Linked DNA regions of Tamandua tetradactyla. The protein of the gene in region 3 purifies or fractionates together with the protein of the main gene of each other region. This does not show direct contact. Links are inferred from orthologs where the notes say so. Each region holds a gene or a part of one and is shown on either strand. Other genes may lie near its edges.

The links. Proteins that work in one complex are often made in the same cells at the same time.
Region 1: the proteins of PRR3 (region 3) and RBMS1 purify together in Homo sapiens (co-immunoprecipitation; 3 studies listed by BioGRID and IntAct, with this or other methods). This does not show direct contact. The link is inferred for Tamandua tetradactyla from reciprocal best matches to the Homo sapiens genes PRR3 and RBMS1.
Region 2: the proteins of PRR3 (region 3) and YTHDC2 purify together in Homo sapiens (co-immunoprecipitation; 3 studies listed by BioGRID and IntAct, with this or other methods). This does not show direct contact. The link is inferred for Tamandua tetradactyla from reciprocal best matches to the Homo sapiens genes PRR3 and YTHDC2.

Annotation. Positions count from the first base shown.
Region 1 is NC_135329.1:131,233,689-131,241,679, forward strand, and holds the start of RBMS1 (RNA-binding motif, single-stranded-interacting protein 1), read right to left. Parts: upstream 3,020-7,991; 5' UTR 2,880-3,019; coding exon 2,805-2,879; intron 1-2,804.
Region 2 is NC_135347.1:16,088,674-16,095,606, reverse strand, and holds the start of YTHDC2 (3'-5' RNA helicase YTHDC2), read left to right. Parts: upstream 1-3,914; 5' UTR 3,915-4,120; coding exon 4,121-4,322; intron 4,323-4,652; exon of another isoform or gene 4,653-4,672; intron 4,673-5,561; coding exon 5,562-5,652; intron 5,653-6,933. UniProt on the Homo sapiens protein: 3'-5' RNA helicase that plays a key role in the male and female germline by promoting transition from mitotic to meiotic divisions in stem cells.
Region 3 is NC_135331.1:85,445,613-85,453,585, forward strand, and holds the start of PRR3 (proline-rich protein 3), read left to right. Parts: upstream 1-4,961; 5' UTR 4,962-5,404; exon of another isoform or gene 5,405-5,690; 5' UTR 5,691-6,030; coding exon 6,031-6,133; intron 6,134-6,835; coding exon 6,836-6,898; intron 6,899-7,973. Other genes in the region: GNL1 (guanine nucleotide-binding protein-like 1), read right to left, coding at 1,068-1,265, 1,675-1,770, 1,912-2,119, 3,170-3,241, 3,361-3,512, 3,651-3,787, 4,209-4,374, 4,790-4,862.

The DNA.
Region 1 (7,991 bases), on a different chromosome or scaffold from region 3:
TACTTTTTCTAATGATTTTCCCTTTCTGTCAAAGCACACTAAGTCACATGCTCTAACACAGCCCTTGAATGTTATTGTTTCTTAATAAAATGTGGAAGTATCTATGTTGTTAGAAGAAAAATTAGCTAGTAAATTTGTCAAAACAGACTCTGATTGGATCATTAACACAAGAAGAATGATTCGAAAAGAAGTTTTTTAAAGTATAGTAGCAAAACTCATTTCCAAGTGCCATCTTAATTGGTATCGTCTATTCCTTCTAACTAAAAGAAACCACATCCATTTAATCCTTGTCACTTCAAAACAATCACATCATCTCTCCTGATTACAAGTTTAAGTTAAACATCATTTTTTAAACTACCATGCCATTGCTCAGTTTTTAATACAGTTTCCAAACAGAAGTTTCAAAACAACTCTGACTTGCAAACACACCACTGTACTTTAAACAGAGTGATGTTTTCCATCCCATATTTAAAGAAGGTTAAAACATGCGCGCAGGTGCCTGTGTGCGCATACACACACACACACACACGCACACACAGGCATGGATGATTGCTGTAGACAACAGATTCTAAGACAGTTTATTAACTCTTTGGGTAGATTAGGTAACATCTGTTTTTAAACTCATTATAAATCAAACTAAGTCTTTACTTTTTAAATTACATACGCTACTACTCTGTTACCAACAGATATGTAAGGGAGGAAAAAATGGATTAGGTGGTCCAAACTGTGTACCTAAAACCTGCATCTAGTCACTTTAAATTTTTAGGAGATGCCCCTCTCTGAGACAGAATCAAGATAATTTCTAGAAGAGGGAATTCAGATTCAATTATCAAACTTTAACACCCCGTTATGTAGGTCAAGTGAGTAGGTATACCCTTCTCAGGAAACAAAGAGATTCAGAGTAATGGGATTTCAGATTTTCATAGTCGAACAGCAGGATATGTTTTGAGAATGCCATTTACTGTAACACAATCAATATTAAATACTTTATGCAGGAAGCACTCTTTCAGAAAATGGACCCTAAAGCTTTCTGGGATCCAACCCTAATTACTAGAGTAGGCTCTTGCTGTTTGTCTCTCTCTTCAATTATTTATGGAGCAAAAAAAAGGCCAAGTGGCATTGCATTAGCTATATTAAATGTTATGTAGTTGGTTTCTAAATTACTAATGGTACATAAAAAATTACTAAGGTAAATGTGCCTGTAGAAACATGGTTTTCTTTTCTTCACCTGAGTGTATGTATTTATTATTCATATAGTTAAAATGTTGAGTGGGCCGGTCTTTAGGTACGCAGTGCTGAATAATTTAAACAGTAGCATTAAACATAAACGGCACCTAAAAGGTAGCACATTGATTACTCCCCAAAATTTTTTCAAACAACTAAATTTACAATGTAGCCCACAGAAACTAGCACTTTTCTCAATTCCCTGAAAACAAATAAGTGAGAAATACACAGAAATGAGTAATATTTGCTGTTACCACCTTGCTGCTTTGGGGCCTCCCAAAGTAAATTGGGAACGGAGATGTGTGTGAAAATGAGGCCTTTGAGTGCTAGAAATTTCTGACCTGGATGCTGACAAGATAAATACAGAGTTATGTTGTAGGTACACGACAGCATGGACCACACACATTGTAGAGAAGAAAAGCTTATCAAGGTTGAATCAGAGAGTCTTTTACCAGGCTAGAAATGCTTTGTGCCAGCAAGCAAGGCATGATTAACTTCTCAAATAAAGTTCACACACCGCATCCATACCTGATTCTTTTGTGATCTAGAAGGGCACCCTGGTGTGGAAGGAGATGCTAACTGCTGAAGAAGGCTGGTGCGACCAAGTTCTGCTCTCCGAAAGTGTCGAGAAGCTTCCAAAGTAGTGAAAAACCCACACTTTTTTTTTAAGTTCAGGGGACATCAAATTCTTCTTTTAAAAATAAGATAAACCCTTTAACAAAGTACCCAGGGTCCCTAGAAGGCAACAGCAATTTGTACGGCTACATGTCATCAGCCATGTTACCCATGAGTGTGCCAAGGCCATTGGAAATCGATCTGTGGTAAATATATAAGATGCGTTGTGGTTTTTTTTTTTTTTAAGTAAATACAAAGTCACTTTTCTTTGCACTGAAACCTGTCCATTGTCCCTCCTTTGCAAAAGCTACAGGGAAGATTAAAGGGACATCAATGAACGCTGAATGAACTTTGTCCACTTTTCTGCCCAAAACACCAGCGTAAAAGTAGAAATCAGTAACCAGGTAAAGTGCCAACACCGCACAAAGATCAGAGGCGAGGGGCGGACGCGCAGGGCCAGGGGCGGGGAGGAAAACGTCCAGTCCCCTCTCAAGCTCTAGTCACTGCGCGCGAGAGAGGTTCAGGGGCGTCCCCGGCGGGGCCGGGAACCAGAGGAGTTCCTGCTCGCTGGGCGAGGCCCGGGAGAAGGGGTCGAAAAGCCGCGCCGCCAGCGGATCCTGCCGAGGGGCGCCAGGCGTCGGCGACCAACCAGCCAGCGATCGGCGAGGGGCGTCGCTCAGCTCCGCGACCCTCCTCTGCTTCGGGCCAGGAAGGGGCTGGCGGCTCTTTCCTGTCTAGTCTCTCCCCCGCGGCTTTCTGTAACCCGATCCCCGCACTCTGCTCCCCGAGAAGCCGCCGCGCTGAGCGCAGCCCAGGCCAGAGCTATAGTTAGCAACCTTCCATCGACTCCGCGGGCTGCTGCAGCAGCGCAGCGCGCCGGGCGCCCGGCCGCGGCTCATGGGCTCGCCGCGCGTGCACCCGGAGCCCCCCTCGTCGGGCTCTCCCCACCCCCAGCGCCCCATTACCTTCGCTTGAAGATACTGGGGGTAGTAGTAGGTGGCGTACTGAGGGTACATCTGCTGTTTCCACACTTTGCCCATGAAGCTGGAAGGGAGCCTGCCGTGCAGGGTCGCGGACACTTTGGGGTTTCCAAGTCTCGATCTCTCCTGCCTCTCCCTTTCCGGCGGCGGCGGCGGCGGCCTCGGCGGCGGCGCCTTCTGCTGCTGCCGCTGCTCCACCTCCCAACCCGGACCAGACGTCCTCCTCCTCCTCCTCCTCCTCCTCCTCTTCCTCCTCCCCCTCCTCCTCCTCCTCCTTCCAGGCAGAGAGAAAGACACTGCAGAATGCAGAGGGCACCCCGGACAGCGCGCTCCCTAGGAGTTTCCTCACGGAGCCTGACTGCCCCCGGGCTGCTAAGGGCCGGCGCGCTGGCCGCGCTCAGCTGGGGCAGGCCGGCTGAGCGGGGCTGGGAGGTGATCAATACAAGCGGAAAGTGCTGCTGCGGCGGCGGCTGCGCTCGGTGCCAGGCGGCATCTGGGATGGGTGCGCCCGATGGGGAGAAGGGGAGAGGGGTTGGCGAGCCGATGCCGTGGGGGAAGGGCGGGCGGGGGGCGGGGCTTGGGCGCCGCCGAGCCCGGGACCGGCTGGAGGTGAGGGCTGAGTTTTCACCACTCCTCACCTCCCGGGCTCGCGGTTGGACCGGCGGAAACCCTGGGAGCCGAGATCGCTTTGTGTCCGAGGGTGAGGGTGGGGGTGGGGTGGGGTGGGGGGGTCGTGGTTGGGGCGGAGGGGGTGGGGAGCGTGTGCTTTTTTGGGACCCAGCTTAAGAACTGCGGAGTGGACACCTCTTCTGCTTTCGTGAGTTTTTTTGTCCGCAAACGGAAAGAGGAGGAAATCTGATTAATCTCTCACTTCCCCGCCCAATGAATTTTTTTCGCAAGGGAGAGAAAATGATTTAGTGCACAACCACAAAGCTGTAGTCAGAGCACCTGGGTTCCGTCCCCCTCCCTACCCAATCTCACCCTCAGGCCCCAACACCAATTTTCTAGGTGACCTTGGGAGGGTTAGTGTCCTTTCTTCCGTTTGTTTATCACAGATGTGAGAGGTGAAATCATGTCCCTAGACAAGGGGAGGCAAAGCTCAGACACACACACACACACACACACACACACACACACACACACACACACACACACACACACACACAGTCCCAACAAATAGATGGATCCTTCTAGGGGGAGATGCAGCAAAGAGGCAGAATGTTATTATTAGAGGACACAATGTAGACATCAGCTTTTCTCTGTCTCTTTCTAATACTGCCAGACAGTCTGTCAACTCCCACTCAGGAGAAAGGAAACTCCCTGAGTTTGGAATATTTTAAGGCCATTTTGAAAGTCATGCTGGCATATTGTTTCAGTGTGCTTCAGTGACATATAAAATCAATCTCTCTCTTTTTGCCTCCTTCCATCTCCTAATTGTTGCAGCTCTAGACAGCCCCAGATGAGCAGTGTTTCAGTTCACTACATAACTGGATATAATTTAATGGAATTAATTGGTCCCTGAAGCTCCCTGCAGAAGACTTTTATATTCTAGCTCAAAAGGAGAGATTATACCGAAATGTACAGATAGAATATGAAAGAAAGCACCCCCAAACTGGGGTTCTTGCCCAACTAATAAAATGTAATGGAAATTAACTTGTTGTTAAATAGAACTTGATTATTTTGTTTTGTCATGGGGTTTTCTGAGAGGCAGTTTTCTTGCAACAAGGTAAATTAAACTGAAATTAAATGCATTATTTTGTTAAACAGTTATGGTTTTTATATGATTACATTAAATAAAAAGGTTTAGTAAGATATTTTAAAACAATGAAACAGTGAACCAAAACCCATACTGTCTTTAAATGATTTCGACAAATATCTAAGTCATTCATGTTTGACAAAACAAAATAAGTTTATATGAGAACATGTTGGATGTGCCAGGAAGCAAATCATGCCAGATAGACAGACAGACATATAGATAGATAGACAGACAGTAGATTCAGTTACCTATATGGAAACTAAGTAGAGATCTGACATGAATTAACTTGTGTTTTAGGAGTCTGGGAGGACTTGGAATATGATTTAGAGGACAAAGGGAAGAGAAATAAGTTGAAAACTATCTCAGAACTTCTAGATTTTAGGTGATAAGGGAAATTATAAACATAGTTTGTTTTACCTACTGTTTTTTCTGGAAGATGAAAATTCAGACTGTTTTAGAAATCACATAGTAAGACCTACACATATGCAGACATTTAATTTGTGACTGAATTTGTAGTACAGAGCAGTGGAGAAAGAATGACCTGCGAAATAAAGGATATGGGGTCAATTGGCTATCTATATGGAAAAAAAAATAAAAAACAACACCCAATTTAGAGCACTGCTGCACATCGTACCAAAAGGAAAGAAACAAACAAATTTCACAAAAATTAAAGACCTAGATGTGAAAAACAAACCTATAAAGCTTTTAGAAGAGAATATAGGGGAGTATCTTTATGTCCTAGAGATAGGGAAATATTTGTTTAATAAAGATGACCCAAAGTACAAGAATGATAAATTTGACTACATTAAAATTAAGAATGTTCATTCATTGAGGGATTCTGTACAGACACTAAAAAAGCATGCTACAAATAGTTATTTATAATACATATAACTTTGAAATGGATTAATATAGAGACTATATAAAAAAGACCTTGGCATCATTAAGGAAAAGAGAAACAACCTGTTAGAAACTGATCAGAAGAAATGAGTAGGTGTTACATAGAGGAAGAAGCACAAATGCCCTGAACACATATGAAAAGATGCTCAGACTCATGAATAATAGGAGAAATGCAAATTAAAATAATAATAAGATACCATTTCACACTCACCTGATTGGCAGAAAATAAGAACTCCAAAAATATTAAGAGTAGGTGAGACTATGGAAGAGGGAGGAATATTGAAAACTCTGCTTACTGGAGGAAGAGTAAATTGGTACAGTCACTACTTAAGAAAACAGTTTGTCTTTACCCAGTTGAGTTTGCATGTGCATTACCTAGTTGTGTTTGCTTGTGCAAAACTCAGTTGTGTTTACATGTGTGCTGGTTTGAAATGATGTATGGGCTGTAGAAAAACCATGTTTTAATCCTAATCCCATTTTGTAAAGGCAACCGTTTCTTCTAATCCCTATTCAGTATTGTATGTTTGAAACTGTAATTAGATCATTTCCCTGATGATGTGATTTAATCAAGAGTGGTTGTTAAGCTAGATTAGGTAGAGGCATGTCCACCCATTTGGGTGGGTCTTGATTAGTTTCTGAAGTCCTATAAAAGAGGAAACATTCTGGAGGATGAAAGAGATTCAGAGAGAGCAGAGAATGCTGCAGCACCACAAAGCAGAGAGGCCACTAGCCAGTGCTTTGGAGATGAAGAAGGAAAATGCCTCCCGGGGAGTTTCATGAAAAGGAAAGCCAGGAGAGAAAGCTAGCAGATGACACCGTGCTCACCATGTGCCCTTCCAGTGGAGGGAGAAACCCTCACTGTGTTCATCATGTGCCTTCTCACTTGAGAGAGAAACCCTGAACTTCACTGGCCTTCTTGAACCAAGGTGTCTGTCCCTGTATGCCTTAGATTGGGCATTTCTATAGACTTGTTTTAATTGGAACATTTTCTCGGTCTTAGAACTGTAAACTAGCAATTTATTAAATTCCTCTTTTTAAAAACCATTCTGTTTCTGGTGTATTGCATTCTGGCAGCTAGCAAACTAGAACAGCATGTACCCTATGACTCAGTATTTCTACTTGTAGGTATACACTTTATAGAAACCCTTATGTATGTGCACTAAGAGAAATGTACAGGAATGCTTATAACAACATTGTTTATAATACACTTAAAATGAATGTCTATCAACACTTGAATGAATAAAATTTATATATATATGTATATGTATGTGTATATATATATATATGCAATGGAACACAGTGCAGGAGTGAAAATGAATAAACTATAGTTCAGAGTATGAACATGGATTATTTCCAAACTGATGTTGAAAACAAAAAAAATTCAACAGAATATATAAAGCATGATTCAATTCATATTATGTTCAAATACTGAAAAAAATAACTAAACAGTATTTTGTGTAAAAATAGGTATGTGAGTAGCAAAAGTGATAAAGGAAAATAGACAAATAATAACAAAAGTCCAAATAGCAGTTATTTCTGAGGAAGCAGAAGGATGAGTTGATCAGGGAGGGATTCCAAGAGATTTCTGAAAATGATAATATCCTATGTTTTGCTCTGGATTTTAATACACAAGAATGTATTTCAATATTTTAAGTGGTTCTAGACCCTTTCTTATGTTTATTTTACAGTAAAAACATTTTTAAACAAAATCAGCTTTTTCAGCTTGTTTTGATAATTTTCAAACACAACAGCAGAGAAATAGAATTATCACCCCTCTGTTCCTAACACCCAACTTCAACATTTATCATCATTTTGTCATTCTTGTTTCACACACACACTCACTTTTTTTTTCCTGGAGTATTTTAAGGCAAATCACAAACATAATATCATTTTACCTGTAGCTATGTGTCTCTAACAAATAAGAACTTTAAAAAAAAGCATAACCACAATACCATTATCACATCTAACAAAACCAACAATAATTTAACCTCAGCCAGTATCCAGTTTTCTTCATTTTTCTCTGATTGTTTCAAAATTAGCTTTTTGAATTGATTTCTCTGAGTAAGGATGAAACAATGTCTGCACTTTGAATTAGATTAATATATCTCATACCTTTTTCAAATATATAAATGTTCTCCAACCCACTTTAACTTGATATTTATTTATTAAACAAACCAAGTCACTCATCCTACAGAATTTCCTCCATTGTTGATTGCAACCTCTAGAGGCTTGATTAGCTACAGGTTCACTTTTTGGGGGCAAAGAATACTTTATAGTTGGTGCTAAATATATATAGGTGAGGTGATGCACATCAAATCAAGAAGTACCTAATGTCTGGTAGTCTCACTTTTAGTGATGTTAATTAAGATTGATTGGATGTTCAGGTATTATCAGTGTGATTTATTTTTACAATTCTCCATCAACAATTCATAGGCTAGTTTTCACTCATTCATGTCTGTCACTTCAATCTCTTATTTCAATAGGGTTTACAAAATTGTGGTTTTTGTAATTGTAGCATT
Region 2 (6,933 bases), on a different chromosome or scaffold from region 3:
CTGAGGGCCATGCACATGTGCATTTCTAGTACTGCTGTGAGGTATGGCTCTCAGAGCTGAAAGACGTGATTGGGGGTCCGTGCACATGCGTGGGCCTAGGAGTACCATAGACTGATGTGCGGAGCTCAGGCTGGGATGGGTGAGGCTGTGCTGTATACTATGGGCATGGGGTCAGGAGGGCAGGGGTAGCCTGTGTATGGAGGTTATGGCAATAGCCTGCAGGGAACAGGGAGGGGGAGCTAGTGCTCAGAAGGCTGCACTTGGGGTGGGGGTGTAGTGCAGTTACGTGCACTGGGGGTTCATGGGGTGGGGGTGCCTGGAGTGCAGGGAATGGGAGCGGGTGATGGGGTTTGGGTGCGTGAGGTGTAAGGTGAGTTGCCAGTCATGGGGCTGCGCTAGTGAGGGCAGTGTGCCCAAGGAATGCAGTCTGGCTTACTTCCTATTCCCCAGCTCCTGTCTGGGCACTCCTGTGGACTCCGCACCTTTGCGCCAGGCTCTAGCTTTCTGCCCCTCAGTTCCTCAGCCTCTATAATTTTTTTTATTCTAAGAATATACAAATGGAGTCACACAGTTTGCAATATTTTGATATTGGCTTTTTCAGTCAGCATAATTTCCTTGAGAGGTATTCAAATTGTTGCATGTATCAGTAGCTTGTTCTTCTTATTGCTGAGTAGCAGGCCGTGGTATGGATGTACATTTGTTTATTAACCCATTCACCCATTGAAGGACATTTGAGTTGTTTCCATTTTTTAGCTATTACAAATAAACTGCTATGAATATTTACATAGCAAATGCCCAAGGGCGCAGAGTGCTATTACTGGATTTTTTTACAGTTTTGTAAAAAAACCCTGCCATACTCTTTTCCAGAATGGCTATACTATTTTACATTCCCACTAGCAATGTATGGGTGACCCAGTTCATTCATAAATGCCAGCATTTGGCATTATCACTATTTTTTATTTTAGTCAAAATGAGACAGTACACAGAACTATCTCATTTTGGTTTTACTTTGCTCTTCCCTAATGGCTAATGATGTGAAAATCTTTTCACATGCTTATTTGCCATCCCTTATTACTTGCTATGAGAACTCCCCTAGGTGACCAACTGCTTCAGAAAAGACCACACTTCCTATGGTAATTCTCTTTCTCTTTGAGAGTGATTGGTTGAGAGTTAGGCATGTTCTGGCTAAGAGACATGAGAAATGTTTACTGCAGGACTTCTGGAAAAAGTTTTCACTCTCTTAAAAAGAAACACCTGAAGGGAATGCATTTTTTTTTTTTTTTTTTTTGTAGTTGTGCTCACACAACTTGGTGCTGTGTGATGATGGGATTTCTTGGGGCTCCTGATAAAAGTGTGTATGGTGGACACTCTAAGAATGGGAGAGCAGTAAACTGGAAAGATCTTAGTTCATTGAGGGCATTGTTGTACTGGAACAACCCTACGTTAGGCTTCTTATTATATGAGATGATGAACAGCTTTATTTTGGGGCCAATTTTGCTTGGCTTTTCTGTAGCCTGAAGCCAAAAACATCCTAACTAGTATTGCATGCTAAGGGTTAAGCCAGGAATTTTAATAAGGATTTCATCTACATAAAGGTAATTTAATCTAATTTAAACTGCATAATAATCCTGGGATGCAGGTGTTTTTATCCTACACATTTTACTAGTGGGGAAACTGAATTCAAGTCTTAGGTCTGTTTGATGCTAAAGATAGCTTGAAATAATTTATAAATATTCTGTGCTTTCCCTATCTTCAATTTTTCTCTGAAACACATGTAAAAAGTAGAATTGTAGTGTATCACTCTAAGCACCCAGAAAGTTCCAACGGCATTTCAAAATATTAGAGAATGTAGAATATGATCAAGATTGTATTTTATGGCTATGCAACTTCAAGAAGTCATTATTCTCTTTCATTTCAATTAACATGTCATGGCACTAGGGATACAAACATTTAGACATTTATCCAAAGAGCAAGGTAAGAAGGCAGGAAATATTATTCTGTGAGTGCTAGGTACTTAACATCTATTATGTTATATTCACATATATATATATCCATGAAGTGAGTGTTAAATATACTCATTAATAGAGGAGAAAATGGAATCTCTGAGGGTATAAGTAAGTAGCTTAAGCCACAAAGGTAAGAAATTGATGGGGCCAATAAATGGTGGAACTCAGATGTGGTGGAGTGAGAATTGAAAGAAATATGTGGCTGACACTGTGCAAAATGTTTTCCGTTTAATCACAATATATTTGGTGCATACAAATATCATTTTCCTTCTATGTTTTGTCCTGGAATGAAGCTGGGCTTCATGATCAGCTGGGGCTAGTTTACATCCCTACGCCAGTAATTACCAACAGGGTGGCTTTAAATAATATGTTTAACCTCATTTAGCCTCAGCTTCCTCATTTGTATCACAGGGTAATATAACAACTTCATATGCTTTTGTTAGGATTAGGGAAAATAAAGACAATGCCCCTGGGAATTTAATAAATGGCAGGTATTATTTTCGCACAGTTGAAGAAATTTGGATACACAGAGATCAAGCTTGTAATAAACGTTCATAGAATTCATTGGTGACCACACCAGGACCTATTTCTGCTTGTCCAGAATTCTTTGTAGTAGTGGTAGCCAATCAGAGATTAGGACCTCAAAGATTATGATGAAAGCTTTCTGGAGGCAGATTCTTAATCTTAATTCCAGATAATAAAATATGGCCTACAAATAAATATTTTTTTTGCAGGCGTATGAGGTTCTAGTTGCTGATGATACAATGACAAGATAAATTAAGGAGCTTATATTCTAGTGGGAAGAGAAAAAAAATATTGAAACTGGTAAGCGATAACAGGTTAATATGAGACAGCCTGTCTAGGCAAGGACTAGGATCCCACTTTAGATTATAAGAAACGGACATCTAGGTAAAGTTCTGGGATGAAGATTTTCCTTTGCAGGAGGAAAGTATGCAAGTAGAAAGATCCCTTGATGGTAGTGGGCTTGGTGTGGTTAACGAACAGAAAGAAATTTTGCATCTGAGCATTGTAAGTGACAATAAAAGTGGAAAGGAATGTGCTCATGGAGGTAGGCTAGCGCCAGTTTAGGTATAGTCTTGAAGTAAGGAGCTCAGTGTTTGTTCTTGTAGCGCTAGGGAGCCACTGGACAACTTTATGTGAGATGTGTGGTCCTACAGATTGTTTATCTTTAAGAGAAAACTCTGGTTGCTCTGTGATGAATGGATCACAGAATACCAGAGTGGAAGCAGTTTAGGGTGGCTAGGATTAGGTTTATGTTAGTGGGATTGCATATAAGCAAATGGAAGGACTCATAAACTTTCCCGATTACACAAACTAAAGGGTCGCACCTCTTCATTCCATCGCATCATATAGCATTTATCACTATCATTTAATGATTTCCTTGTTTATTGTCTGTCACCCCTGTTTAGGTTTGCCAGATGAAATGCAGATGCCCAGTTGAATTTGAATTTCAGATACACAACAAATAAATTTTTAGTGTATGTATGTGCCAAATATTGCATGGGAAATACACAAAAAATGTATTCCTTTTTTTTTTTGTATTCCTTGTTTATATGAGATTCAAATCAACTGGCCATCCTGTATTGTTATGGGCTAAATTTGGTAGCCCTACGCCCACCATAATATGAATTCTCTGAGGGCAAGGATTTTGTCTGTCTTGTTTCCCAAAGTATATCTAAGGCCTAGCAAAGTGCTGGGCACATAGGAGCGCATGCGTGGTTACTGAAAGAATGAAGGATTAAACAAAATAAGTTAATTAAAAAATGAACGAGAGCCCACGAAAGGGGAGAACGGTCAGCATTAGCTTGGTGTGACAAGGCCGAGAGGAAAGGGGCAGGCGACACGCTGAGGTCACGTGCGCCGGCGGTCCTGGTGACGTCATCACGCCCGCGCTCCGGGTCTAGCCGGTGCTTCAGCTGCGTCGGTACTTCCTCAGCTGTGCAGACCCGCGGCTTTGTCGTTCACCCAGACCGCCACAGGCTGTCTGCGAAGCCGTCCGGCCGGGCGTTGACCCCGGAGCCCCACTGTCCCTGTCGGCCGCCAGCAAGCAGGCCAGAGCCGCTTCTTCGCGGGGAGAAAATCTCCTCAGGACCATGTCTAGGCCGAGCAGCGTCTCCCCGCGGCCCCCGGCTCCCGGTGGCGGCGGCGGCGGCGGCGGCGGAGTGGGTGGCCCCTCGCAGTGTGGGCCTGGGGGCGGCGGCCGGGCCAAGGGGCTGAAAGACATTCGAATCGATGAGGAGGTGAAGATCGCAGTCAATATCGCCCTGGAGCGCTTCCGATACGGGGACCAGAGAGGTGAGGTTCCTGACAGGCACCCTGCTGGCTGGCGTCCCCCCACAAGTCCGAACCTACGGAGAGAGCCGGCTGCTCCCGTCCGGCCTCAGAGGAGGGAGGATGAGTCTGGGCCGCGCAGCCGAATCCACCCGAGTGAGCCGGTGACCTCCCAGCTCCAGCTAGGTCGGGGGCCTGGACCGCGGTTGTTAGCCCTCTTGTGGGATGTGAAGAACCGCACCATGTCCTGCGGATCAGGGTACCTGCCTGGCAGGAGAAGATGGAAAGATCAGGTTGCTACCCATCCTGGAGGCATTTCTTTCCTCAGGAAGAGGCCCTTCGGAGGCCTCGGGCGGTTAAGCCGCCGTTTTTAGGTATTGGTAACCCCCCCCATCTTCTTTTCTTTTTAAACAAAAGGGAGTTATAGCCTTAAGTGAGGCTCTTTTAGAACAAAAGGAATCCAGGTATAAATAAATGATCTGGCAATGTGTAGAGCTTTGTTCAAATCTTAGAAACATTTCGCTAAACACAACTAACTTGCTGCGGCATACAAAGCGTCTTCCACGGTTCTTAGAATTAGAGAGCTACTTGACTTGGGTCACATAATACACAATCAGCAGCCGACCTGAGGTGATCTGTACAATCGTACACTGAGTGCCCCTTCATCTGCTGGTTTAAACAGGGGACTCCTTACTCTGGAGGCGCACTGTCCAAACAAAGTGGACAGAATGATTTTGAATTTACTTTAAAGAAGGATGAAAGTCTCAGCAATATATAACAACAAAATAGTCGGTCTAAAATAGTGAAATATGAGTCCTATAATTTCAAAAGCAAAGAAAATGGAGTTTGATGTTGAACGTTTACAATGCTTAAACTTACATCATCATTGAGGGAAATGAACATTTTGTTAATTAAGCAAGAGCTTATTTAAAATGGTGAAATATGCCCATCAGTCGTTATATTAAGTCAAGGTTCCAGCACAGCTAAGAGGAGTAATCTGTGATGAACACCAGAGTCTTTTATCGCATTTAGATTTAATATGTGGAAGCCTTTTTATTAATATCCGAGTTCTAGTAGCCATTCAGTAGTTACTGAATTAATATCTACCCATCCATGAATTGTGTAAGAATAAATGTGATTGTATGCTTTTATGGTTTTTTTCCTCATATTTTACATGTGTGTAAGTATTGAAGTGCATTGAAAGAAAATTAACTATTCAGAAATGGTATTGGCTAATTTGTGTGTTTTTTTTTTTTCTTGTAGAAATGGAATTTCCTTCTTCTTTGACCAGTACTGAAAGAGCTTTTATTCATCGACTGAGTCAGTCTCTTGGTTTGGTCTCTAAAAGTAAAGGGTAAGCGAAAATAACAAAGAAATATATCTAAATGCATTTAAATAGTTATTGTTTTAGATTCACAGTCTTAATTATATTGTATGTAGATAAACTGATTTAGGTCTGTACCTAGTTCAGCTCTCTCTTCCTCCTATCCCCTTCTCTAACTCTTTTTTGCTAAGGGCAATAATAATACTAATAACAAAAATAAGGCAAAATTTTGAATTTAAGCAAAAATAGTTTAGAAATTAAGTTGCTTGCTTGAGAAAAGTATTTTCCTTTTTGATAGACACTAAATATCTCCTTTTTAAATAATGGTTGGACAGAAAACTACAATTATTTACAGAACTTAACTCTTTTAATGTTACTGAATGTAATGTAAGCTTTAGAACACATTTATTGTTTTCTTTTCTACTAAGTCAAGAGTCTGATGATTAGAAATAAAGTACTATGGAAGTAAACAATATATATATTTATATATTTTGGTGTCACTGCTCCATGTGGGAAAAAAGTCAGTTGAGCCATCCAAATGTAAGAACTCTTAATATTCTGTGCAGTTATTTCATTTTGGGAATAGGGATGATTGATGGGCTTGATACTTTCTCAGTTTTGCACAATTGATATTTTGGGCTGTGTAATTCTTTGTTGTTTGGGTTTTCCTGTGCATTGTAGGATTTTTAGCAGCACATCTGCTTCTACCCAGAAGATGACAGTAACACCCCCATTCCCAGTTGTGGCAACCTAAAATGCCTCCAGACGTTTCCAAATGTCCCCTTGAGGGCAAAATCGTCCCAGTTTAGAACCACTGATATGAAGAAAATTTTAGCTTATTTGTTTTTAGGTTAAGAAAAGGGAAAATAAAACTTTGAGTAAATATATTATTAATTTTATATGTGTACACACATGTGGACACATGGATACATACAGATATAACTTACGTAGGAATGAGTAGAAAGCTCCTAGAATGAAAGGAGCTAATGTAGGAATGAATACCTTGTATGTAATGCTCACAACAGTGATACGTTACTGAGGCATGGAATTTAGCTTAGGTGAATGTGTGTTTTGAGCATACTAGAGCTAGTACTGGAATGTTAGTAGGTGCTGAGCTTACCTATATTACAGTAGGTATAGTATACCTGTACCTATTGTATATCTGTATTATTCTCACTATGTAGGTGAAATATTGCACTTGAAAACACAAATACAGCACATAGCCACAATCCTTTAACTAAACACCTGGGCCATATATGTTTTGAGATTCAGATTTTAGGAAGATATGGCACAATTTGTCATATATTAGGT
Region 3 (7,973 bases):
TAGATATCCCTTTTTAGTTTATGGTGTATTAGAGTGACTAGAGGGAAGTACCTGAAACTGTACAGCTGTGTTCCAGTAGCCTTGTTTTTTGAAGATGATTGTATAATAATAAAGCTTTTACAATGTGACTGTGTGAATGTGAAAACCTTGTGTCTGATGTTTCTTTTATCTAGGGTATGGACAGATGAGTAAAAAATATGGATAAAAAGTAAATAATAGGGAGCTCAAAGGTTAAAATAAACTGAGTAGATTGAAATACTAGTGGTCAATGAGAGGGAGAGGTAAGGCATGTATGAGTTTTTTCTTTTTTCCTTTGCTTGAGAGATGCAAATGTTCAAAAAATTGATCGTGGTGATGAATACACAACTATGTGATGATATTGTGAGCTGCTGATTGCACACCATGTATAGAATGTTTGCATGTCAAACATGTTTATGTTTGTTTGTTAAGGTTTACAATGAAAATATTTTTTTTAAAAAAGGACATTATTGGGACATAAGAAAAAACTGGAATATGGAATGTAAGCTTTATGTTAAACTTCTTGAACTTGATAACTACACTTAAGGTGATCACATAAGTAAACAGCATTGTTCACAGAAAATGTACATGGAAATACTATGTGCTCAAGGCAACCTGCTCTTAAATGTTCAGAAAATAGATGGCTTGAGATAGAGATAGAAACAGAAGGCAGGAAGGGGAGGAGGAAAGGAGGGGAGGGGAAAGGGGGTAATGAGCTAAAATTGGTAGATCTGGGTATGGGGAGGGCGGGATGGTAGAGTTCACTGTAGGGAGTTTGTATTATTGTAAATATCCTGCAAATTTGAAATTATTTCAAAATTAAAAGTTAAAAATTAAAAAAAGATCATACAGCTGGGAAGTAGAATTGAACTCAAGCATCCTCATGATCCATCCACTATAGCAGATGGCCTCCTTGTCACAAAAACTGGCGGAAGTTGCCCCCTCAAAGGCCCTGGAAACTAATAAGGCCTGTCACTTTTCCTCCTGGTAAAAGCTTGAAATTCTGTACCTCCCTGGAGGCCACCATGCCTAGGCTGCTGCCTCCTTACCCACACAGCCGATGGTCACCACTCCATCCTTGTAGCGCTCCCGGGTTGGGCCAGTTGGCTCCATCGCTGAATCAGTCTGCTGCTCCACTAGGACTGCTGGCCCATCCTCCTCTTCCTCTTCCTCCCCAGAGCCATTACCCCAGGTGGCCCCAGCCACATCCCGAGCCATCTTCTCCCGCCAGCTGCTCAGGTCCACTGCTCAGGGAAGAAGAGAAAGGAGGGTCTCTCCATGGCTGCTGTACGGTGACAGATGGTATACTGCACAGCTCTGATGTAATCAGTGCCCTGTGGAGTTGTATCATGCCCAACCTGCACAACAGTGGTCCAGAGACTCTCCCCAGCTTTTACTTGATCTCAGCCCTGGAATCGTCTGCATTTCTCTGCCTGGGTTTCTGAAGAGTACACGGAAGACTGAAGGCAGCAAGCCACTGAGGTTCCTGCCTACCCGCTGCCCTACTTGTCCCACCAAATTAGTTTGCTCCCTATTTCATCCCTTCCTCTGGCCTCTCTTGAGGGTCTATAATAGAAACGTAGACTTCTAGAAAGGTGAGCAAAATGACTCTGGATCTTGGGTCTCTCCCATGGCCCTCCTCTAAGAGACACATACCTTTCCCAGCAGTGATGGCTTCACAGGCTCTCAGCAACTGCTCTGGTCCCAAGGCCCGAGTCCATCCTCTCCCCCGCTTCCGACTCTTCTTTAAGACTGAGGTCAGAAGGCACAAAAGGATTAGCACACAGGTTTCCACATTCCATCTTTCCTACCCTCGTCAACAAGTCCATTTGTTCTCCCCTCCTCCCACACCCACCCCAACTCTCCCACATTGCTTTTTTATTGCCTACTCACCACTACTAGAGTCCTGTGGGGAGTGGGGATCCCGAGGGAAAGATGTGAAAAGGACGATGTGGAGCTGGGGGTAGTGTTGGTGGAAATAATGCTTCCAGGCAACTACAAGAGCTGGCGGGGCCAGATCCACCTTGTTCAGTACCAGCACCAGGGCCAGTCCAAGTTCTCCAGTCACATACTCATAAAGTGCTGGTGGGAAATTCACAACCTGAGATGGGTTGATAAGAGGATGGAGTCATGAGAGGTGAACTGAGGATCCTCTACCTCCAGCTCAGAGACAATCTGCTACCCTGGAGGTAGCAAATTCAGGGGTAAAAATGGTAAATCAGTCAAACTGAGGAAAGCTCTAACAGGGACTAGTAACATCTGTGCATGAGTTTCTGGCAGGCTTCCTGCAGTTCATGATTAGTGACAAAGGTGACCCAAAATCAAGATAAAGAAATTGCAACACTCAGCACACTGAGGGAAAGGCCAAGACCAGGAACAAAGGATAGAGGATGGGAGTAGAAATGTTTTCATTCATTTCACTCATGCATTCAACTTGTATAAGTCTGTACATGTGCATACAGAGTGCATGTGTATGTAAACATGTGTTTGCATTTAGGGCCTGCATGTTTCCATTAAGTGTGTGTAACTGTGTGTGTAAATATGCCTATGTGTATAGATATGCACATGCACATATGCATGTATTTGTGAGGGTGTATGTAGGAATATGTGAGTACATGTTGTTAAAGATCTCAACCTAAATGTCCCCACAGACCTCCCATTCTCTGACTGGAGGACAAGAGTGAAGTGAAAAAGCCAGGATTTGCACAAGGGTAGTTGAGCACCAGATTCTATAACCTTAATCACTACTGTAGCATTCCAGGTGATACTAAGTTCCATAGTGTCTGACGTGGCAGTGCTAGAGAAATTAAGGAAGGAGAAAAGGACATCTTTGGGTGGTGTGAAGGAAGTTCCCAGCTATCTCTACAGAATCCCCTGGGACTTTCTTTTGGTTTAGCTCTCATGAGGTAGGAGACAAGAGACATAGTTCTTTGTCAAAGGGAGTGGAGAAAGATAAAGACAGATGACCTGGGGAGGAGTGGTAAATCATGACAAAAGATGAATAAAGAATTGGTCCCTGACTGCACACATCAGCAAGTGAGAGAGAAATCTGAGAAGGAAGAAGGATGCCTCTCTGTCTCCCAACTCCTGCCTCTGACCTTTACCCCACAGAACTTTGCTACCCCCACCCACCCTTATACTCAGTACTCACAGGATGTCGGATATCAGTGATGAGCAGGACAATGTCAGACATCTCTAACACCCGCCACAGCTGCCTCCATGTCTGAAAAGACAAGAGATGGTAGAAGAGAACCTGGACCCAGAGTCCTTCTTTCTCCTGACCCCAAGCCAACTTGACCATGGGTGGACTATGCCTCACTCCTGTCTCTGTGCCCGTCTTACCTCCAGATTGTGCTCAAAGTAGCTAAGTTTTTCAGAAGTGTAAGCTCCATGAATCTTCCCAAGATACTCCTGGAAGCTCCGTTCCTCCTGGCTCATTAGTTGCTCCTTGGACATCTCATAGCTCCAAGGAGGACGTCGGGGAAAGTCCAGAACTAGGAAACCAGGAAAAAGTCCAAGTAAGTATGAGGATAGCTTCAGGACTTGAAGTGCATCCCAGACCACTCCTTCATGATGGTCAGCTCTTACCCATCCAAGCTCCTTCAATATCCAAGTGTTGAGATCTTACTCACCAGAGCCAGGCTGATAGACTTCCCTGATATCCAGCTCCAGCACCTCAGCACTGACAGGCTGTAACACTTGCTCCCGGGCAGCCTTCTTTCTCCTCTCCACCTCCTCCCGGCTGTCTCGCTCAAAATGCAGCCGGTATCTAAGAGGACAGGAACCAAGGTATCCAACACTATAGATCCTGTGACTACAAATTCCAGTCTTTTCCCCTCTGGGGTGGACAACTTCTCAAAGCTGTTCCTCAAGTTGTTCGAGTTTTCTTTCTCAATTTGCCTTCCCCCTAGTCCCTCTTTCACGACATATGCAGCCTTCCCCTATGCCTCACCCTTCTGGAAATCAAACTCTCTCCGCCCTCTCTGGAAGACAGGATTGTGGCTGGCTCAGGGGAGCTCAGCGACCCTCCACCCACCTACATACCCACCCTGGGAAAATCTGTAGCATCCCTGCCCCGCCTCCTCCACTTTCAAGTCTCCACCAGCAGCAGCCCATTTCCCACCCCCAAACCTTCGGTCCAACTTCCAGGTGGGTGGGGAAGACCTGGCCAGCCCTCGGCCCACCCTCACCGATTTGGGTCATAGCCTCGTGGACCCAGCCCCTGGGAAGGCTGCTGGTTGAGCCTGCGGATATGATGGGTCACAGACTCTCCGTCTGAGGTGTCAGTCTGTTCCTCCCGCCGCTCCCGGCTCCCGCTGCGACTGTTGGAACTGGAGCGTAGCCCATCTTGAAGCCCTGCGGGGAGGGGCTGGTGACGCTGGGGCCGGCCAGCTCTCCAGGAGCTATATGAACCCCTCCCCAGGTGGCATGGCTCCCTCTCACCCCACCCCACTTCTTTCGAGGTCCGGTAGTCCGAGCCAAGCTGCTTGGGACCCTGCCGGATGTGCGTGGGGGGGAGTCACTCTAGAGAGCTGCGGGCCTGACGCCCCGTTGGTGCTGGAGGAATTCCCCTCCCCCAACTCCCCATGCTTCTCCACCCCTTCCAGTTGTAAGAGAGGGCTGAGGTGGGGGAATCCCATCCGCAGTGGCCCGCGCGTGTCGGCGCGCGCCCACCGCCCCTCCCACGCCCCCCAGAGGTGCGGCGGGCACACCCCTCCCTACAGATGTGCGGCTCCGGAGCCCCGCCCCCTCCTCCCGCTCCTGCACTGACCTCGCTTCCGCTCCCGCTTGTCCTGCAACTGCTTCTTCTTCTGCTTCACGCTGAAGGGCTTCTTCCTCGGCATGGCCCGGACCAGCCACCTGGCCCGCCCTCAGCCGAGCTCTCGCCGCCTCAACTGACACTCTTTGGGCAGCCCCCGCCGCAAGGGCCCAGGACCCTAGAGGGGGCGGGGCTACCCGGTGACGTCAGCGGGCGGGCCCCACCGACTCGCCGTGGCAGCCCGGGAGAAAAGCGCACAGGGGGAAATTCAGTCACTGCCCTCTGGGAGCGAGGCGAGAAAATGATGTGGGGTGGGCTACCTCCACAGGAGAACTAGCGGCGCTTTGACGGCGCAGGGGCGGCAAGGCTGGAGGCGCGCGTGGGAGGATCGGGCAGACTTCGTCACGGACGCTACCAACCTGCGTTCGGAGAAGGGGGGACGCGTGTCATCACTACCTTGCGCGCCGAGGAGAAGCTACCACTCACCTGGAGGAGGGGCGGAGCGGAGGACGGGAGAGGGGCAGCGTTGCGGGAGAGGGGAACGTGGACGCGCGGAAGCTACCTTACCAACTCGGGAACTTGACCTTAGTAGAAAGCCCAGACTGAGCGTCCCAGGAAAGAAACCAGGTTGCTGGGTTACGCTGGGGGCAGGGTCAGAGGTCATGTGGGGCGGGCGGCGGCCTGAAGGGTCCTTCCTGGGCGCCGCCCTGGTGAGACCCAAATTCCTTCTAAGAACGAGGATAAGGAGCAGATTTACAGATCATGAGTGCAAACGCGAGCGAGAAAGGAACCCAAATGGGACAAGGACTTTTGGGGGGAGGTCAGAGGGCATGAAGTTGTGACTGCCGCTGTTACCATAGTAACAGGGGACCGGATGTGGCGATCACAGGGTGCGACGTCTCTTTCTTCCCAGGCCTTCTGGCTCAAAAGGCTCTCCACGCTGTGACACGCCGGGAGGAGCTGGATATGTTGGCTTTTTTCCCGCGGGAGAAGAGAGGAAAAATTTTTTTAAGACTATATAGAAACGCAGCAAAGAGAATACTCTGCATTGGCGCCATGTTTAGTAAAGACGAAGGGAGGCAGTTTACGTGAGAATGGAGCTACAGTAAAGGTTCCCTGCAGCCTTCCGGAAGTGAAATGGCGGGAGCCTCATCCTCGCTGTCCACCAACCTTCCCGGAAGCGGAAACAGAATCTTAGTGTGCCCCTTTCTCACTGCCCTCCAAATCCCGCTGCAGCCATTGCCGCAGCCACGATGCCGAAGCGAAAGAAGCAGAATCAGCAGCAGCCACACCCGCCACAGACCCCACTGCCAGAGCGAGACGAGACTGGAGACGAGGAGGACGGGAGTCCTATCGGTGAGGAGCCCAGAAGGGGTGTTGCACATGTCAGTCAACGCGTCTGGGCGAGGGGCAATAGAATGACACCAGTTGGGGAGGGGGGTGGGCGTCTAACGGAAGGAGGAAGGTTGCAAGCATTGAGGTAGAGGTTCTATCCGGGATAGAACCCTGAATGAGTTCTCGTATTTGAACCTTAAACCTCAGTTCGGCCCACAAACCTTTCTAGGGAGGGCAAGGGAGGAGAGGATAAAGAATTTTTGTGCGCAGCCGCAATACAAGGAGTGAGAGGGGTTGTACAGAGGTTGCAAATTTAGATGAATGGGAAAATAATTTGTGAACACACTTTCACAATTGGAAGTGAAAGTTTGGCCTTCTCTGAAGGGGTGGGGGGGTGCATGGGCGGGGAGGAGAAGACAACCACCTGATTGGCCAACAGTTTAAGGCGAGTGACTGGATTACCTCTGGAAGAATTGGTGATGTTTTGGATAGCAACATTATAAGGGAAAGACATCCCCCAGAGATGCCTCTACGTTTTGCAAATCCTGAACAAGCATTGCAGTGGCAGATAGATAAGATGAGAACTCTGCAACACTGCTGAGAATGTACCTAGTTTTAACAGTTGGAGTAGGAAATGTGTACTGAAGAGAAACATAGAAGAACAGGATCATCAGTCCTTTATTTAGTCCATTCTGATGACCATATTTTCATGTCTACTCTCAGGACCACCTAGCCTTCTGGGCACTCCCCCCATGGCCAATGGAAAGCCTGGTGACCCCAAGTCAGGTGAGAAGGAAGGGGATCTAATTCTGGATTAAACCCTGGAGAAAAGGGAGGGAGTAAAACCGGGAGTGAGAGTGGGGACTTAAAATAAAAAGATCAAGGCTTCCATACCTAAATAAATGGAGAAGTTTTGTATATTCATAGAGTAGAAAAGTGATCATTGTAAAAATGTCGGTTCTTTCCAAATAGATTTATAGATTCAGTGCCTTCCTAGTCAGAATTCTTAGATTTTTTTTTGTGGAAATAAACATTCTTTATTTTTGTATGGCAATGCAAAGAGTCAGAGTGAGAAACTGCCAAGACAATCTTGAAGAATAGTGGGAGGGCTTACACTGAATGTCAAGATTTATTGTCAAGATTATTTATGCCACTGTGACATTAGCACATTGACAGGCATATAAGTCAAAAGAACAGCATAGAGAATCCAGTAATAGGTCTGCACATATGAACTTAATTTATGCAGGGGACACTGAAATGCAGTCTTTTCAGTAAATGATGCTGAATCAATTGGTTGTTTATGTGAGGTAGAAATGAAAACTTGACCTCCTATCATACCATACACAAAAATCAATTCCATGTGGATTGCAGAGCAAAGTGTGAAAAATAAAATAATACTTCTAGAAGACAGACTCATATTAATTATCAAAATAAGACTGATCAATTGAATTACATTAAAAGATGTAGGCTTCTGTTCATTAAATGACACTATTAAGAATTTAAAAGGGGACCATAGAGGAGAGAAGATATTTGTAACTTATATAACCGTAAAGAGAATATATGTTGAATATATAAAGAATTCTTCCAGATAACTAGTTAGGGAAAGGGCAAAAAATCAGAATAATCATCTTCTAAAAGAGGAGATCTAAATGCCCAATAAACATGTGAGCAAGTTCTTAACATCATAAGTCATTAGATTAATGCAAGTTAAAGACACACCACTTTTCATACTTACCAGAACGGCTACAATGAGAAAAGACTGACAATACCAAGTGTTGTCTAGGATACAGAACGATTGCTGGTGGGAGTGTAAATTAGTGCAACCACTTTGAGATAAAAAAATGTTTGACATCTGTTAAAC